2 linked regions of the Nothobranchius furzeri genome follow. Each later gene encodes a partner of the first gene's protein in a complex. Links are inferred from orthologs where the notes say so. Each region holds a gene or a part of one and is shown on either strand. Other genes may lie near its edges.

Region 1 (3,820 bases):
GATTGTGCATCACCTCCTGCAGCATGTTGAAAATTTCTTCAGCTCGAGAACATTTGAAGGCAAAAATACCTGAAAACACACAAAATGAAAATGATTAACCACCAAGACACACACACACACACACGCACACACACACACACACACACACACACACACACACACACACACACACACACACACACACACACACACACACACACACACACACACACACACACACACACACACACACACACACACACACACACGTTTTAGAGTTGAACAGCAACAAGGTGGCTAAAGATGTTTCCTCAGCTGATTAGAAGGATTCATCCTTCCATAAACTCCTCCAGGTCTCCCTTCACCTGTCCTCCTCCTGATTTACCTGCGACAGGTAAGCTTCTGACACACTCAGACAAGGCAGTCAGACAGTTCCCTTCACCATCTAAATGCTGAACACGACTGTTCTCAGAAATGCATCAAAGCCTTCAGAGCAGCTGCAAACCAGAAAAGTTGCAAAAACTGACGGTCATTTGAGCTCTAATGCAGACCAAGTTCTTCCAAACATCTGGACCAAATCCAGAGCAACCCCAGTGTCTACAGACAGGAAGTGGTCAGGGCTATGGTCAGGGACTCAGCCTCTTAGGGTCTGATCTGTTTGACCACAACATATTTGATGAAACCAAACCCTAAAGTCACCAGACAGGCACCGTACAACTCCCCAGTACACTAGTGGCCCCATCAGCCTTAGCTACAGCTTCTAAGCTCGACTCTCCCATATTCCCGTCTGAACTGACAGAGCTCCTTGGACGAGAAGTGAAACCAAAGAAATCCAGTTGCCTTCATTAAACCCATTTTGGATCATTTTGAGTTGTTGCATTTATTGGAAAAAGAACCTTAACATAAGGATTTTAATTTAAATAAGTTTTGAACATGAAAAGTAATCAAATACTTTTTGGATTCATCTGTTCTGCAGTTCATCTGGTATGCGAGATTGTCATTCAGACATGTATAAACAGGAAAAGAACATATTGCAATAAGTATCATCACCACATGAGCTTCAGAAATGAGGGCGATAGAGATTTTAGGCCACATCGCCCATTCCTAGAGTTAACAACTCAAAAACATCCTAAAATTCTAATTAGCATGGGGTAATGTGGGTAACCAGCAGGTCTTAGCTTAGATACCAAGTCCAACAAACGCTCAGCAGACACGGGGGCCATCAACACAAGAGCAGGTCAGCCCACTAACTCCATCACAGCGCTAACGTGCCCCTGGTTGGTCTAAGCCACAGGTGTCAACTCCAGCCGTCCAGGGCCGGTGTCCTGCATCTTTTTGTTGTTTCCCTGTTCCAACACAGTCGATCCACCTGTGCAGCAGCTCATCAAGCTCTCCAGAAGCCTGCTAATCACCTGTTGGTTGGAATCAGGTGTGTTGAAACAGGAAAACACTACAACAGGTGGGAGAGCGGCCCTCGAGGACCAGAGTTTTGGGCCATTCCCATCTGTACCGGGTCGGCCCGGGCCAGGTAGCCCCAGTCGGCCCCAGCCTGGCCCGGTTGATTCCACACATCCTTGTCTTAAGCCCATGTGGGCTGATTCTACCCACCAATCAGAGGCTTGCTCTAATGGAAGGTGTGAATTTGCTGTCAGCAGTGGGTGTGTTGGCCCTGGTCGGCCTGAAGCAGACCCCCTCGAGAAGAGGGCTGAGAATGAGCCTTGGTTGGCCCGGAAAAATACCAGGCCACCCAGATATGTAAACAACCTACGCTACCCGGCCCGGGCCGACCCGGTACAGATGGGAATGGCCCATTTGACACCTGTGGAGAGACGACAGTCTGGGGCTGAACCAGGAGGTCTAATGGGACAACGTGGAGTTGACTTCAACACCTGACAGACGAGGAAGAGGGAAAACACATCCAAAGGCCGCAAACACACGAGTCACTGAGACTGTAGGGTGCACAAAACCAACACACATATTGATCCCTGTGTATCCACAGCACAATCAATACTGATCAGCTGATCAGCCTACCCATCTGAGACTTACCAATACCACCCCAACCCTGAGCAGACCATGGTCCAGACAGCATGCATGAGAAACATTAGACACAGAGCAACTTTAGCCAAATGCCACCACATTTCCTACCTTACCTGTTGGTTTTACCTGAGGCTGAACAGGAAGTTGATGAACTAGTCCAGAGGTTCTGGCTGCTTTCTGACTATAGATATCTTACAAGTACTGATCCAACTTAGTTCAATGAGATCAGAAAAAAATGGTGGGTGCCACCTCTGACTGCAGAGGGCCACAAAGGTTATTGTGGCCCAGAAGCACCTTTCTGGGTTAGGGCTGTCACTCTCTAAGAGCTCGTCGTTAAGCCACACCCTTGCTGAGCAGCTACGTGGCGTTTTCAGTATTAAAATGCCCCATCGCTGACAGGCGTGAGCTGATTGGTTAGCATGGCCAGTGTGGAGCAGGTTACTCGGATAGGCATGTGTACCTTGGCCTGTCTGGCAGCGCCGGCCACTCTCAAATGAGAACAGGTTGGAGTCATAGCCGTAACGTCGCAGACACAGGTATGGCCACCTGACATCATCGCGGCGATGGGTGTGAAGGACGAGTTCTGATTCGGTCAGCTCCATGACACCTGAGCCCAGCTCGTTTCCATCATCGTCAACATTAATCACCTGGAAGCAAACACAGTCACATTTTTCCTCTTAATAATGACACAGATTCTTTACTCGCTTTAACGAGCGCTGTCTCTCCATCCTGGACAACATCTGTCCTGTCAGAGCCCGATCAGCTCCTGCAGTGAACCCTACTTTCTGGTTTAACTTCAGCCTGAAGCAACAGTGCAGAAAAGTTGAGCGCTTGTGGAAGAAAACCCGTCTCCACGTCCATCTGCTGCATCTAAAGGACCTTCTGACCTCCTTTAACTCTGCAGTCAGAGACGTGAGGGTTGCCTATTTCTCCATCCTGGTGTCCCAGAGCAAAGGGAACCCCAAGGTGCCGTTTATGTAGTAAGAAATCACAATGTAGCCATGGAAGCGCTACTTGGGATATAAGTTGTTAGTGTGTGTGTGCCTGCGAACTTCTCCATCCCTAGTGAGTTGTGGCGGATGGCTGCTTATTGCTAGGTTTCACATGACGTTACCTAGATGTCACCAAATGCAGATGGGGGTCCGGAAGTGGCAGGCACTGCACAAAATGCTGTTTACTTTGATAACTGGGCATTAAAATGCCCAAATCCTATGAGGTCTACGGTTAATATAATCACTAAGGCTCCTCCCCTTCCGGTCGGCTCATGGGTCCCCGGAGGAACGAAAAAATGAATGCAAGTCAATGGGGATAAAAGCCATCTCCTAACCCGCTCTGCCTTACGCCCTGGATCACACAAGTTGTACGTCTATTTAAGTGAAAAGTAATGATGATGTTTCGACCACGCCAGTCACGTACTGTGAGATTTATCAGCTGGTAAAAGTTTGTAATTAGCATGACTACACACCAGATGTCGGTATGTCGCATATATGACGTCACCACAGAATCTCCTCCCCCTAGCGTAGCTGCTACTTACCACATGACCTGATTTATGGTGGCTGTTTCCTTCTGAAGAAAGGACTAGTGATGCACCGATTAGTGATGCACCGATATTACATTTTTGGATATATTAAGATATTAATATATATTAAGATATTAAGATCACTGGTGTGGCCGATAACCGATACTCATGATACAGATATTCTGACATTAATGCTTCTAAAATAAGCAGATTTTGTATAGAATGAAATAATTTAAGCTGAATTTATGTTATTACGCACGCACGCACGCACGCACGCACACGCAC
Region 2 (3,820 bases), on another chromosome or scaffold:
CCTTTAAAGTTGATAAGTCACAGTTTTACAACAAACAACAACAACAAATTATTGTCAAATCTTTACAGTAGCTCCTGCTGTTTTGCATGCTTGCATGTGTGTGTGTGTGTGTGTGTGTGTGTGTGTGTGTGTGTGTGTGTGTGTGTGTGTGTGTGTGTGTGTGTGTGTGTGTGTGTGTGAAGGATCCTGTCAGGGAATCCTCTGCATTGCTCCTGTGAGAACATGTGGATCAAACTGTGGTTGGCAGAGGAAGCAGACACTCAAGAGCTGCGCTGCATTGAGGACGGAGGGGCACGCAAGCTGCTGTCCAAACTGACACCGCCAAACTGTGGTAAGGACACACGCACGCACCCCCCCACCCCACTCAAAGACAGACAGGGCAACAGACACGCTCTAGGTGACCAGTGCACAAAGCATTGAAGCATCTGAAGAGAACTGGAATTTACTGCAATAAGTTTATTTAAATAAACGTTTTGATTTGTCCATTAGTCTGCACGTATTAGGCACATCTTTATTAAAGGTACACAGAGTGCATTTGCACAAATGTGTTTATGTTTAAGTGCGACTCGTGCAGCATGAGACTTGTAACTGTAAAACAAAAGTGCTAAGTGTTTTGTCAGTTCCCAGGGGGTGTGTGGAACGCATGAGAAGGGAAGGGAGATTTGCTGTTAACACCTGAGAGAATTACTGTACAAAGAACACATTTCATGCAGCAACAACAGCGACTGCAGTAATCAGTTACACATATCTGCTGATTTGTGTGTTTGCAGGGGCTGCAAGGAGAGCCCTGCATACACTCTATTTCAGTTACACAAAGCTGTGCTGTCTTCTGATCTCCACACGTTGAAATGTGCAATGTTTCATGTTGCAAACAGATAAATGACACATGGAGGGAGTTTAAAAGTTAGACGATGTGTAACTAAGAAACTGTGTGTGTGTGTGTGTGTGTGTTATCTGAGACGTATGCACATTGGCTCTGAGAAGAGACTTTATTGGCCACATTGATGTAAAAACAATGCCAAAAACACACTAGTGCAATTTAACACATTGAAAACACCAATGAGCCTGAAAATTAGATTGATACAGACCATCTGCGTCATGTCCTTTAGCTCTGGTGATCCTGCTGCAACAAGGCAGGATGCTTCTGATGGCTTTGTCCATCAATCTCATGACTATGTGGAAAGTACTGAACTGCAAATAACAAATAAAAAAAGAAAAACATTTTCAAGCTCCAAAATTAACTCTCTCGGGCTCAAAATAAGTTTTGATAAAAGGACGAATAAGTCCTTCAGGGGTACTTCTGAGTTAAAAAATGCTCATGAAATAGGTATGTGGAGTAACCAGGTCGGTAGGTTTTAACGTTGCAAATCTGCAACGCCTGCCTCCAGAGGGTTAAAATATTTTTTTTATACTTTTATGAATTTTCCTTAATTAATTAATTAATTGATTGATTGGTTGGTTGGTTGGTTGGTTGATTAATTGATATTTTTTTTATGAATTCTTGACAGTGGGTGGATTTATTCACAAGTGCATTGTGAAGCTTGCTGTCAGTCAGGAGCCATCTACAGACCTGAAGTATCTGCATACAAGAATGTTTATCAAGCCTTAATGTATTAATGTCAGCACTTAATTGATACTTTATTCCTGTCTTCTTTATGTACGCAGCATGAGTTATTTTTATGAATCTTCTATTTTGGAGTCTTCTATTCATAAACAGGGTCAAATTACAGCTTGACCCGTCTAGTCTGTGATGGTCCTGCTCTTTGTCTCCAGGTTGTTGGCTTTCTGCAGCTTTTGTGTCTCTGTCTGAAATCGCCATATTAAAAAAAATGGAATTTGATTTAAGGACAAAAAGAAACATGCTCCACATTTTAGTATGTATAAATACTAAAGAGAAATTTAATCGGCCCAAATGAAAGGATGAACCTGGGAGGATTTTTGTCACATCTGCTGCTGACAGAGTGGTCAGGAATAGCTCGGGGCAACGAGAGCACTCTGGACACAAACAATAAGTTCGCTTACAGGAAGCTAACAATGACATTGATAACTCCTATTGATCTGTCCCCTCTGCCTCCCCTCCATTAACAGAGGTTATTTTTGGCATTAGCACAGCCACATTGGGGCCCCTGAAGTGGTGGGCAGGGGACCCCCAGCCGAGTGACATATGAGAAGGGGGACATGGTGGGGCAGGAGAGTCAAAAGACTCCCTGAGGCTAACTGTGACACACCAAAAACCACTCATCCTGACCAAACTGCTGGTGCCTCATCCGTATTTCCCATTTCCCTGTCTGATTCATGTGTGTCCTTGTGTCTGAACATTTCTGAGTGACATTGTGAGGAAGGCACAAAGGAGAGGGAATGCCCAGCGAAGCCCCGAGGCTGAGCCAACACTGATCTCTATCTGTTAGACAGCATACTGCCAAAGCTCCACCCAAAGAAAGGGCTGCTGCTGCTGCTGACCAATGCACTAATTCACCAAGCAGTGCTGCTCTCTTATTCTGCTTGTGCAATAAAGAAAAACCAATCTACTGTGTCACTCAAAGCTCAAACAGCTTCAGGTGGTAAAAGTGTAATGCTGACGGAAACAATAAAATAGGAGCATGAAACTACTTCCGCATAATTTACTTCCATAACTCTTTTAGATGAACAATGTCTTCAGTAACTTGGCTGCTGATGTGGAAATCAAGAATTATTCAGTAACCTTCGATCCATCTCTCCATCCATATCCTGCTTATCTTCTGGGGTTGGGCTGCGGGGACAGCAGCCTAATAGGCTCGACACACGGGAGGCGACAAACGGCCGCGATCAGCGAAATTTGTCGCTGTCGCTTTTATTACCTGTCACACGGGAGGCGATCCGCGGCAGCGGCCAGCGGCAAAGCCGTCTACGCGTTCTGTTCCGTGGCGAAATCGAAACTTCCGTAGTTTTTTTTGGCTGTGTCAGGTTGGAGGGAATTAAGGTTATTTAAGCGGTTCAGAGTTAATAAAGTGGTAGATATAATGTTTCACAAGGTGCTGCTAGAGTTATGTGAAATCTTACTTCTGATTTTACTATAAAACATAATAATAATAAACTTCTCCTTCATGTTTGCTCGGAGATGTGCGGAGCATAATGTCCGCTCATTGGTCAGTGAATGAAACCTCCGTTGATTGGTCCTCGTCCGAGCGACAGAGATGAAAAGTTGAAAATGTTTCAACTTTCTGGGATCGCGTCGCTGGGTCGTCCGTGCACGGCACATGCACGAGTGCAAAATTTCACACGCACATTTTTCGCGTTTCGCTTAGTAGGAGAGAGACCCGCGATTATCGCTTTGTCGTGCATGTCTCATTGAAAATGAATGGAGGAGAGGCGATGTCACCTCCCGTGTGTCGAGCCCATAAGAAGAGAGGTCCTTGGTCTTCATTTACGTCTCCTACCAGTTGGATGTGCTCGAAAAACCTCACCAAGGATGTATCCAAGAGAGATCCTAACCAGATGTACAAGCCACCTTTACTGGTTCCTTTTAATATAGAGGAACAGCAGATCTACTCCAAACCCCTCCTGGATGACCGAGCTTCTCACCACATCTCTAAAAGAGAGCCCAGCCACCCAAAAGAAAAAAAAAACTCTTCGTCGTCTTACGTACATGAACCCAAAGCTCATGAGCATAGATGAAGGTTGGAACGTAGATCGACTGGTATATCGGCTCAGCTCTCTCTTCACCACAACAGACGGGTACAACACCCGCATCTCTGTAGACACAGCACCAGTCCGCCTATACTTAACCACCTTCATAACAACAACACAGGTGTACACCATCTCCATCTGCCAATCTTTATGT

What was found.
Region 2: the proteins of fibroblast growth factor receptor substrate 2 (region 1) and ntrk2a are in contact, whole or in part, in an NMR structure (PDB 2MFQ), measured with the Homo sapiens proteins. The link is inferred for Nothobranchius furzeri from reciprocal best matches to the Homo sapiens genes FRS2 and NTRK2. Residues at the interface, in NP_001036020.1 of Homo sapiens: Val26, Asp27, Asp28, Asp29, Gly30, Tyr59, Leu60, Cys61, Leu62, Arg63, Arg64, Tyr65, Gly66, Tyr67, Asp68, Ser69, Asn70, Leu71, Phe72, Ser73, Gly77, Arg78, Ile86, Ala88, Lys90, Phe98, Gln102, Met105, Gln106, Ser109; in NP_001018074.1 of Homo sapiens: Pro498, Asp499, Val501, Ile503, Gly504, Met505, Thr506, Lys507, Ile508, Pro509, Val510, Ile511, Glu512, Asn513, Pro514, Gln515, Tyr516, Gly518, Ile519.

Annotation. Positions count from the first base shown.
Region 1 is NC_091744.1:79,870,468-79,874,287, forward strand, and holds part of fibroblast growth factor receptor substrate 2, read right to left. Parts: intron 2,664-3,820; coding exon 2,477-2,663; intron 70-2,476; coding exon 1-69. UniProt on the Homo sapiens protein: Adapter protein that links activated FGR and NGF receptors to downstream signaling pathways.
Region 2 is NC_091757.1:48,553,529-48,557,348, reverse strand, and holds part of ntrk2a (BDNF/NT-3 growth factors receptor), read left to right. Parts: intron 1-182; coding exon 183-331; intron 332-3,820. UniProt on the Homo sapiens protein: Receptor tyrosine kinase involved in the development and the maturation of the central and the peripheral nervous systems through regulation of neuron survival, proliferation, migration, differentiation, and synapse formation and plasticity.